3 linked regions of the Mus musculus genome follow. The protein of the gene in region 2 interacts with the protein of the main gene of each other region in a pairwise test. Links are inferred from orthologs where the notes say so. Each region holds a gene or a part of one and is shown on either strand. Other genes may lie near its edges.

Evidence for each region.
Region 1: the proteins of Spg21 (region 2) and Dtx3l interact in binary tests that used the Homo sapiens proteins (3 or more experiments, as listed by UniProt). The two-hybrid records come from large-scale screens. The link is inferred for Mus musculus from reciprocal best matches to the Homo sapiens genes SPG21 and DTX3L.
Region 3: the proteins of Spg21 (region 2) and Akirin2 interact in binary tests that used the Homo sapiens proteins (3 or more experiments, as listed by UniProt). The two-hybrid records come from large-scale screens. The link is inferred for Mus musculus from reciprocal best matches to the Homo sapiens genes SPG21 and AKIRIN2.

What each region holds. Positions count from the first base shown.
Region 1 is NC_000082.6:35,936,196-35,940,209, reverse strand, and holds the start of Dtx3l (E3 ubiquitin-protein ligase DTX3L), read left to right. Parts: upstream 1-1,182; 5' UTR 1,183-1,332; coding exon 1,333-1,516; exon of another isoform or gene 1,517-1,740; intron 1,741-3,582; coding exon 3,583-3,833; intron 3,834-4,014.
Region 2 is NC_000075.6:65,481,429-65,484,991, forward strand, and holds part of Spg21 (maspardin), read left to right. Parts: intron 1-432; coding exon 433-540; intron 541-3,013; coding exon 3,014-3,154; intron 3,155-3,563. UniProt on the Homo sapiens protein: May play a role as a negative regulatory factor in CD4-dependent T-cell activation.
Region 3 is NC_000070.6:34,549,376-34,553,446, reverse strand, and holds the start of Akirin2 (akirin-2), read right to left. Parts: upstream 2,833-4,071; 5' UTR 2,403-2,832; coding exon 2,174-2,402; intron 1-2,173. UniProt on the Homo sapiens protein: Molecular adapter that acts as a bridge between a variety of multiprotein complexes, and which is involved in embryonic development, immunity, myogenesis and brain development.

The DNA of each region.
Region 1 (4,014 bases), on a different chromosome or scaffold from region 2:
AATCTGAAGCTCTGGGAAATCGCACTTTCTCATGATTTTAACCTAGTAGCCTAAAAACTAAAATTATGAAATGTTAGACTCATGACTAACACTTACAATAGTCTCTGGGATGATCTGTAATGTCTTTGCAGTAGAAAAACACTGTACAACACGAGAGCACAGCTGGCCATGCCCATCCAGGAGTCACTCGAATACTAACCCCAAACTGGCCGGACAGGATCCGGGGAGCCTGCAGAGGGCAGTATTGCTTTCACACAAGAAAGACCTCTAAGGTTCCTTGGAGGCTGCAGCTGAGAGGTTGCTTTGGGGTGCACTTGTCTGTCTTGAGGCAAGCAGGCCAAAAGCAAAACTTCCTTTTTCCTTGTCCTTTTATATAGGCTGCTACCAGGACGCGTGACCCAGATTTAGGGCGGGTCTTCCAGTCTCAAAAGACCCAATCAAGAAAATCGCTCACAAGCACTACCCAGCTAGCTGGGGTTTTAGCTGATTCCAGACGCAGTCAAAATGACAACCAAGATTAACCATCACCTATGAGCTAAACTATGGTGTTAACCTTTAGAATTAACACACATAATCCCCACTTTATTTCTGTTGACGCTATAGATCTTACAGACCCTTCCTCTTCCTCTCCCTGGCCTGGAACCCAGCCCTCTGGACTTTAGGCTACTGCTGTCCCAGCCTAGAATACTTTCCTCCCCTCCCCCAACCCCTTAAGATACCTCTTGAAACCTGCTCTTTGGCTTTTGCTTTGTTCACAGGTACTGACTGCTTCTGTGCTCAGTTCCTCGTTACCTCCCTCTCTAGGGACTCAGGGAAGCAAGCCGATCTGTGCTATTCGCTAACTTAAGGCCCTCGAGCAGAAAATCCCTAAGGTGCCCAGCTAACAGGAAAAGTACAGGTCACCAAGCAGGTAAACTCTCTCCACTTGAAATCAGAACCGCATCTCAGTAAATACTAGTTACAACAATCATTTCAAAAAGTACAAACAGGTGAAACTCTTTACCCCTCTATTCCGCTCCACCCTTGAGAGGCCTGAACCTGGGATCCGGGTTCCCGCCAAACTTCCGATCCTGCAAGAATAGAAGGGCGACCTGCCACCGTAGGGAAACTTCCTCTGAGCGCCCACCGCCGAGCGTGCGAACTACTCACCGGGTGATGGCTCTGAGAGATGGCAGAGCAAGACAGGCGGCGGCTCTGCGGAGAACAAGGAGGGACCTTCTGGGGAATCGAAACTGAAACTTTGCCTCTCGGGTCTTTAGGGCAGGGCTCGCCTTTGCTCTTCCCTGTCTGTGCAGCGCCCCTGAGCCCCAAACGAGCCAGACGCGGATAGCCATGGCTTCCAGTCCCGACCCGCCGTCCCCGCTACTCGTACGGCTGCGGGAGTCCATCCCCAAGGCGCACAGGAAGCTCGAGATATACTTCCAGAGCCGGGCCTCGGGAGGTGGGGAGTGCTCTGTCCAGCCCGTGGGCCCCAGCGCCCCGGACACCTACGAGGTGAAGTTCCTAAAAAAAGCAGGTGAGCCGGGGCAGGGGAAACAGGGCAAGGCTCGGGTGCAAGGGTAGAACCAGCAGGTTTCCAAACCGATCCCTGCATGCTTCCGACGAGAGCCCACGCGAGTGTGGCTCTCTGTCTGTGGGAGAGTGCGGTCCACAGACTCCCTCCATCCCACAGTGGCGGAGAGAGCCTCGTATGAGTCCAGCCGCTGATGAGGTCGCGGTTCGACTCCATCTGAGAATTTCCCAGCAGACCCAGTTGAGAGAAGAAACAAAGTGTGGGGGTTGGGATTGAGGAGGAAATCCAGAACCTTGTGCACGCTAGGCAAGTGCTCCACCACCGATCTCGACTCCAAGCCATTTTAATGTTGTAAATAAAGATTCCGTTGACTTATTTTTAAGGACTACAAAAGTAATATATGACTTTAAAGAGGAAAGTCAAAGAAAAATTATCTGAAGATAGTTTGGTGGGGTTTGGTTTGGTTTTGGTTTTGGTTTTTGGTGTGTGTGTGTGTGTGTGTGTGTGTGTGTGTGTGTGTGTGTGTGTGTTTGGTTGATTTTAGAGACAGGGTTATTCCTTGTATCCTTGTCTGTCCTGGAACTAGCTCCATAGGCTGACCTCAAACTCGCAGAGATCCTCCTTCCTCTACTGGGATTAAAGGCAGGTGGTGCCACACTAATGTCCTCAATGGGGGCATTTTCATGCATTCTTTTCTGAGAGTCAGCAAATGAATATACATTCTAAACTTTTTGATCTTGTTTCTTTTGGGGGGCCGGGGGTTTCACCATTTAACTATACAATAACCATTATTCAATGTCATTGAAATGAGAGATTCAAAACCATTACAAAACATAGGTTTCCCCACCACCACCCCTTTGAGACAGGATCTTGCCATGTGCCATTGGTTGGCCTTGAACTCATAATACCCCTACCCCTACCACTACCATTTAAGTGCTAGATTGTGAGTGTGTACCAGCATGCCCAGACTAGAAATGTGATTTCTAATAACCAAATTATATTCCTATGCTAAAACTTAAGCTCCCTTCTTTAGAGTTCTGATTAGCTTCTCCTATCACCAGCCTGCTATTCCAGAATGCCAGAAATAACTGTTCAGGTCCTCTGTATGCATTTGACCAGGAGCCTACAACAGATACCACCAAGGGCCAACTTGGTGAACCAATGCATTACTTATTGCATTGGTATTGGTTATTGGATTTACTTACAGGAATATGGGAAACGACTCAAAGGCAACTGCATCACCAAAGCCCACCTAGCATGGGTGACAGCTCACAAAGCTGGGAACCTGGAGCTCACTGCACACCTACAGGCAGCTCAATAGGTTAGGGAGTGTTCTTTCCAGGTGGCTCAGTTGGTCTAAACTTCCTCCTAAGTGGAGCTTAGAGTTCACTTCCTGCAGGCAGCTTCTCTGGTGGTTTAAGTTTTCTTCACAGCTTGTTTTGTCTAAGAGTCTCCTATGCAGACCTTTAATGAGTCCTCACAGCAGCTCTGTTCTGGGAGTCTCAGGAGGACTCTTCCCAACAGTCTCTATTGTTTATTCATTCAGGGAGGGGCCTATGAGTCTGGTCAGTTTCTGGGATTTCCTGAAGCTATTTTGAGTTGTTTACCTTCTTGCTTAAGGAACTTCTTTGCAGGGTGGAATGTTTCAGTCTTGAGAAAATTTACACAACAGTCCCATACCCTATGGTTTATTCAAATAAAGTCTATGGAAGGCGAACCAATGCATTTATAGTAGTGGCACATGCCTTTAATTGTAGCACTCTGGAGGCAGGGGCAGGCAGATCTCTGTGAGTTCAAGGCCACCCTGGTCTACACCAGGAGTTTCAGGACAGCCAGGACTACCTAAGGTCTCAAAAACAAAAAATAAAACAAAACAAAAAAATGAACAACTAAAAAGCATATGTGAGAACATGGGTAGCTTATGTGAAAGTCCTAAGCTTATTAGGGACATCTCTGGAGGTAGCATGCTCAGACGTTTCTAGAATCAACCTACAGGGATACTGAGGATCAGCTATGTAAATTCTCTCTTATTTCTGTGTGAATGTGTATGTTTAATGTCTCCCCTGAAGATAAGGAGAAAGTGTTGAAAAAGAGCGAACACGAGATGTTGGTCCATAACAAACCTGTGACCATTGTCCTGGAAACTACTAAAAAGCCAGTAGAGGACCTGAGACCCAGACTCCCATCCTTGACACAGCCAGTGGAGACACCAAGCTCCAGACCTCCGTCCTTGACGGGGTCTCTGGATGAAGCACTTTGTGATGACATACATCCCCAGGACGGGCTCGTTTCTAACTCTGTTGACTCAGTTGTCCAAAAGGTGAGTGTTGACAGAGGAGCTGATGCTGCCCTGGCATCTGCTCCTCCCTTCCCCTCGGTGTTTTCGGGCAGCCTTGTGCACCCCGGACTGTACAGGGAGGAATGAAGCTTAGTTGGTACAGGTGGATTAGCAAGATCTCAGCCAGCCTGAGTTAGGGAGAAACAGCCTTCTCTGGACATGG
Region 2 (3,563 bases):
GTGCCGCCATGCTCAGCCAGAGTCAGTTTTCCCTTGATCTCCCTCCTGAGCCATTCAAGTCAGTGTGATAAGCAAGCCTGAGCATTTCAGAACCTTGGGCAGAAGGTCCCTGAGGGCCTTACGTGCTGATTTGTCACCTTTGAGGCACACAAGTTAGGGTGCACCTGCGTTAAACAGGCAGTACAGGTCGTAGCCAAAAGAAGACCACGTGGCACTTATAGAGCCTGACTTGGGTGTCACAGCAGAGAAGGCCACTCACTGCCCGAACCCGAGAGTCCCCAATCGCAGCCTCTCAGATCACATTTTCTCACTGGTGGGTTTTCCACCATACACATCTCCAACATCACAAGCACCATGTCACTTACGGACCTGCTGTATGCACGAGAACAAAATTCCTGCAAACTCTTACCTGTATCTCCCCCTCTTCTGCAGCTGGAGAGTTTGGGTCAAAGTGAACTGGCTTCAAGGCTAACTCTCAACTGTCAGAATTCCTATGTGGAGCCACATAAGATCCGGGACATCCCCGTCACCATCATGGATGTAAGTCTATAAATATATAGCCAAGATCATTATTTGGTGACATTAACCATGCTTCTTTCTTTCAACACACCTTGGCCTTTTCAATTCCACAGTAACCTACAAGAGTGACAGACACCCTTGTCCTAGGTGTGCTGGTGAATGCTGTGATCCCAGCACTGCAGAGGCAGAGAGGCAGGAAGATACTGAAGTTGGAGACAACCTGGTTACATAGCAAGTTCTAGGCCAGCCTAGGGATAAATAGAGTGTCCCTGCTCTCCTCCACCAGAAGTTAAAAAATACAGTCTGGAGAGTTGTTGGCTTGGTGGTGAAGAGCACTGCCTGTTCTTGCCCAGGATCCAGGTCTGTTTCCCAGCACCCATGTGGTGGTTCCCAGCCATCTGGAACTCCACCTCCATGGGATCTCAGGCCCTCCCTGGCCAAACACTCACACATAAATAAAGACAAAAAAGCATTGGGGGGGAGGGGGGCAGAACTCAGACTTTTTGTGTGCTAGGCAAGCACTCAGACACTCAGCTGTACCCCTCAAGCCTTGGGTTGGAGTATTTTATTTTCTCACCAACAGATGTCTAAATGTCTAGTGGTTTCACGTGCATATACCCACACAGAGGAACACACATGTACACAGAATTAAAAATAGAATTGTTGGTTTTGTTTGTTTTTTAAGATTCATTCTGGAAAGGTGGCTTGCTGGTTAGAGCACTGGCCATTCTTGTAGAGGCCCCAGGTTCTAGTCCAGTTGCCCACATGGCAGATCACATTGTGATCTGCGTGTGTGTGTGTGTGTGTGTGTGTGTGTGTGTGTCTTCTCAAAGGGTTTCTCTTTGTTAGTGGCTGTCTTGGAACTCTCTCTGTAGACCATACTGACCCTGAACTCAGAGATCCACCTGCCTCTACCTCCCAAGTGCTGGGAATAAAGGCGTGCGCCACCACCGCCCAGCTTCACAATCATTTTTAAGTATGGTTCAGAAGATCTGCCGTCCTTCTCTGGCCTGCATGCAGGTGGTACACAGACATATATGCAGGCAAAACACCTATGAATATCAAAATAAAAATTGAAAAAGATTCACTGGCCCCATAATGTATCTGGATATCATTATCTTAAGGCTGAATGGTGTTCTGTTATATCTTGTGGATGTCTTCATCTGTCAAATGTTTGACTATTGTGGATGTATCAGTTCACATGGGGATGAAAGGCTCTGAGTCCTTGCCTTTTTAAATCTTGTACTTTTGGGGCTGCAGAGAGTGTGCTCATTAGCCGGGAGCACACACTGCTCTAGTAGAGGACGCAGGTTCTGTTCCCAGCACCTACGTGGCTCCCCACAGCTGACCGTAATTCCAGCTGTGTCCTCTTCTGGCCTCCTCAGGTACCCACACACACATAGTGACACACACATAATTCTACTTTAAACTTTTTGAGAAATTGACATAGTGTCTTCCAGTGGCTGTATCATTTTACATTTCCCTCAGTAATGCCCAGGGTTCTGGTTCATTTAACATTCTGACATTTTGGTTTTGAGTTCAGCATTTAATGGCTGAACCATTTCTCCAGCCCCAGAACCTGTACTCAAACAAACAAACAAACAAACAAAACACAACACCAGGCATGGCGGCACATGCCTGTAATACCAGCCTTGGGGAGGTACAGACAGGCAGGTTCCTGGTTTGCTGACCTGCCAGTCGAACCTGCTTAGTGTGCTCCAGGCCATCAAGAGACCCTGTCTTCAAAAACAAATATGATATCTGAGGTTGACCTCTAGTTTCCACATATACACAAAATACACATAGGCTTATCTTTAAAATGTTTTCAAAAAATATTTTGTATGCATGCTTCAGAGAACATCTGAAAGATGTCCAAAACCATGTGTTCAGCTCTTCTCCCAGAAAGAGTCTGAACTTCCCGCCTTTAGTTTTCTTTTTAAAAAAGATTATTTTACTTTCTGTATGTGGGTGTTTTGCCCCCATGTCTGTAAGTGCATCATCTGGCTGTGGGGCCAGAAAAGGGTGTTGTATCTCCTAGAACTAGAGTTACAGACAGTTGTGGCTGCCATGTGGGTGCTGAGACCCTAACCAGGGTCCTCTGGAAGAGTAGCCAGTGCTCTTAGCTCTGAGCCATCTCTCCAGCCCCAAGATTTCATCGTTTTGAAACTGGTATTTTAGTGATTATTCACTATTATTATTTAATTAGCTACATGTGAGCGGCGAGAGACATTTGGCAGCAAAGTCTATAACCTGAGATCTTAAGCTGGAATTAGAGTTTTATTTTTTGGATGGGGATAGGGGATGGGGCCTTACACATGCTAGGCAAACATTGTGCCCCACAGCTGCATGCCCAGCCTCTTGCATTGGAGTTGGACATGACCAGGAACAGCACCAGGAAGTAATCTCTGGCTGCTCTGACACTCAGGAACGTGGGGTAACACTTTTGTACTGACCTAAGAATGCCATGAGATTTCAGCCTTGTGTGTTTTCAAAGGTGTTTGACCAGAGTGCGCTGTCAACAGAAGCCAAGGAAGAAATGTACAAACTGTACCCTAATGCGCGGAGAGCCCACCTTAAGACAGGAGGCAATTTTCCCTACCTGTGCAGGAGTGCAGAGGTCAATCTTTATGTGCAGGTGAGTCCAGCGTGGACCCCAGAACATGTGCGCTTTAGAGACCCCCCCAAGACAGTGCTCCCTAATAGTCCTCCTCTAGATCAGCAGGCCTTGCATCGTACTCTGAGGTAGTGGCCCTTAGTATGGTGTACCTTGCCTCCTGGAGACAGGGAATGCAGCCAGAGCAAGACGCCACATCTAAATGGAATACTCCAGGCCTCAGAAATGACTTCTTGATGTGATTACGTACTAATGGCAAAAATAAAACACCACCTCCTCCTCTCAAGAGATTACTAGACTGGGGTGACGAGTAGCTGCCTTGATAATCTGGCAAGAAGCATCAGGCCCCTTCCTGGTGAGCGAGCCCCATTTAATGCTCTCCGCTACTTGTGGAAGGAGATCCTAAGGAGGCAGTCCTAACATAGAGAAA
Region 3 (4,071 bases), on a different chromosome or scaffold from region 2:
CCTGGAACTCAGAAATCCGCCTGTCTCTGCCTCCCAAGTGCTGGGATTAAAGGCGTGCCCCACCACCACCCAGCTGATTTGATTTTAGGTTTCAAGATGTGGTCAAACTAGATCAGCTGGCTAAAAGACTAAAAATACTCCCAGTTATTTTACAGTATACTGATTGAGATGTGGAGACTCTTAAACACTCTGCACTACAGCACTGACATGGCAGACTGGGAGATCATTACCGTTTCTGAACAACCTCCCTTAAGTAAAGAAACGTGTCATAGCTCCCTGCTGTGTTAGTATTCAAGATTATTTTAACTGCATAGGGATATATTGTAACTCTCAAACTTATCACTAGCTCCAATGAAATTTATTGCTAGTTACAGCTATTTTAAAATGGCTCCATTAGTAGATAGGACACCATTTCAATGTTCAAATTTAGCATTTCATTAAAAACAAAAAATGTCTGCCCCAAGAATTCATTCTCCAGCCCGGCGGAGGTGGCGCCCGCCTTTAATCCCAGCACTTGGGAGGCAGAGACAGGTGGATTTCTGAGTTCAAGGGCAGCCTGGTCTGCAAAGTGAGTTTCAGGATAGCCAGGGCTACACAGAGAAACCCTGTCTCGAAAAACCAAAAAAAAAAAAAAAAAAAAAAAAAAAGGAATCCATTCTCCACTTTGTTCCCTTGTTTTACAGTAATGACTAAAGCAGGGGGTTCTCAGCGCTCCTGATAAGCCCACCCTTTAGCACAGTACCTCATGCAGTGATGATCCCAACCCTATGATTATTGTTGCTACTTCATAATGTAATTTTGCTACTGTTATAAATCATAATGCAAATATCGGAGCGTTCCCCCGGGGGTCGCGGCCCACAGATTGAGAGCCATTCCTCTAACAACTCGGTCAGGAGTGCCTTTATACACATATGTGGGGGAGGGCAGCTTAGGTATGATCCTTAAATAAACGTCTTGGAATTTCTACGAAAAGTGACTGCAACTCATAAAACAGCTTTTGGCTACGTTATATCAAAAATTTAAGAGCCAGACTAGGTAACTGAGGTTCTCCATGGATTTGGGTATGAATATTTAAATGTGACATTTAAAAAAACACACATGGTACAGTCAATTTCATATAGATGTTACCAAATACAGAACTCTATAGTTCCCATCTTTTTAAAATGAATTACTGAGAAAAAAAAAATTTAAGCTAAGCAAAGGCTTTAAGGATGATATCACTAAGGGCTTACACACACAGGCTCACACACTCTTGCATGCCACACACAAAAGAAACAGACTTACACTTCAAGTCCATTAAAGTTTACCCTAAGATTGTGCCGAAGGCACACAAAGATTTCCAAATGCAGAGGGGGAAAAAAAATCCCTAGGTACACATTTAGTATACAAAAGCAATCAAAGGTCCATCCGGCAGACACTTTGAGAAAATGTTTCAAGACTTCAAGTCTGAAGTCCACTGGAATCTTGATTTATTCGTTACTCTCGAGGCTAGGTTGTTTTCTCCCAACATACTTCATTGGGATAACTAAAGCATTTACAAATAAACTAGTCAGTCTCAATTTGAAGTACACCTTCCTTTTCATTAAAAGTTCAGGATCTCTTAAGGACTGGACGCATAGTGAGATCACATTACAGTACTCGGGAAGAACATTTGCTTTGTTGTTGACCCTGCTAGGGAAACAGGTCTTGACTCAGCCAAAGTGGCGTTCTTGTGGGTGATTAATGACAGGCCTACAACTCGCCCCAGTGACATCCATCCCCCTCCAAACCCCACCCCTTCTATACTAAAACCAGCCAAGTCTAAAATGGAGGAGGGGCTGCCTTCTCGCCTCAAACCACTCAGTCACTGAGTTAATAGCTGCAACCAATCGATTCAGCCCAAGAGACCCGGAGATTCGGGTGAAATGTGACCCTTCTCTCGCCTGACTTATGAATAATATCACCCTCTCTGATCATTTCCGCTGGGGCTCTACATAAGGAAACGATTCTAGGGATCTAGCCCCAAATGATCTGCCTCACAATGAGGGACCCCCACAATGCCGGCCAACCCGACTCGTACCCACCCAACCTGCCGACACCACCCCCACCTCGGTTCAGGCCCTTCCTTCCCTTTGTGTCCGCACCCAAGCTCCCGGCCGCAGCCCACCCCGGCAGCCCCGGGGCCGAGGCCCACCTGTGGTGAGCCGGGAAGAGACGTCGCCGAAGGGGGAAGGCTCCATCCGGAGATACTTCTGCGGCGAGGCGGCCGCGGCCGAGGCGGCGGCGGCGGCGGTGGCGGCGGCAGGGGAGGCGGCAGCCGAAGCCGGCGCCGACAAAGGCGCGCACCGCCTCCGCTTCGGAGATGCGGGGCTCAGCAGCGGGTCGAAATCCAGAGTCCTTTTCAGAGTGGCTCCGCACGCCATGGTGGCGGGCGGCCGAGGCTCGGCTCGGGCGGGGCCGGGAAGGACGGGGGCAAACGGGCCCTCCGAGGTGCCCGGTGGGTGTGGGGCCCGGGACGGCGGAGCCGCGACAGGGCAGGCGGGCGAGGCGCGAGGGTCGCGCCGCCGGCTCGGGGCCGCTCCCGAGAGGCCGGGCCGCCCCCGCCGTGCGCTCGGGCTGAGCGCGCCGGGGCTCCTGCGCGGAGACCCGCTCCCTTCGGAAGTGGACCCGGCCAGTGGCGCGACCCAGACGCGATCTCCGACACGCCGGTGCAGACGGAAGCTCGTGAGTGGCGGCCACGCGCGGGAGCTGCGAGGTAGCCCGGCCGTACAGAGCTAAGCAATGCACTCGACCCTCTCTTCTCCACGGAACAACTCTGCCACCCGCCGCCGGCCCCAATATGGCGTCAATAACAACGCCGCCGATTCAAATCCTGCGGCCCCAGGGCGCCTGCGCACCGGGGGCGGGCCCGCCAGAGTGCATTCTGGGATTTGTGGGGTTTCGTGAAGGGCAGGGATCGGCCTGAAAGGCGGTTACCCAGAAGTCACAGAAACTACGACTCCCGTCATCCAAGGCGCACGATCCCAAGTTCCGGGTTGGAATTTAAATACCCCCTCATAAGTAAGAGAGTTTAAAAAAAAAAAAAAAAAAAAAAGACCTAAGGAAGAGAAAGGAGAGCCTGTGAGACAGTGGGGAAGAGGAAGCGAACCCATTGGAAAAGCAAGCTAAGCACTTTAGAGACCCTGTGAAGATTTGGCATAGTGACTTAAACGGGATATAACAAAGAGCCAGTCTAATATTTGGAGAGAGATTAATTTAGCTGTCAGGAGCGCCAAAAAACCAAATCTGTCACATGGAGGAGATAGGAAATAATGAAAACACCAATTTGGGTCCTCGAGACAGAACGACAGTAATAATATCAGATTACAGGATCTTTGAAGTCTGTGCTTTGCGCTTCCCAGATAGGTACTTGTTTGCTTATTAAATTCTGCATAGCTGAAAAGGAGCACAAAGTCAATTGTTTACTATGAGCAGAGAGCGATCAACACCAGAAATTTGTTGAGTTTGGAAGGCTGGGTGGGGTCTAGGGAAAGGCAAGCAAATAAATGCCTAGGGAGCAGGACCCATCTTTATTAGCAAAGTGGGAAGAAATATTTCTAAAATTTGTTTTTTCATCAACTATCTAAAATAGGGATCGACTACAGCACTGATGAAGTAATTTATGTAGATACTTTATATCTTCTGCCTGTGGATGCTAGCTCTCCACCAAGATTATAAGTATTAATACGCCTAATGCTCACTCTTTTCTGCTTACTCAGAAATCAACATATGTGGCTGCTTTATAGTTGTTTTGGACAATACCTCTCTATATATCCATTTGTTTAGAATTGTTCACCACCACAAAGATCAGCTTTCTTGATCACACTGTATAAGCAACTCTGTCACACTTATTTTAATTTAGAATATAGTTCTTAGAAAGTATCTTTTGAGAAAGACCAGCATTCTATGAAACAGTCACTTAACTAAGACTTGTACTAAGGATGTGTTTATTAAATTATAAAAACTCCAGGAAATCTGTTATTGTGCTGAAACTGACTGGACGTTCATACTTTATGTAAGAGCAGAATAAGAAAAGTTCTTGACTTTTTTTTT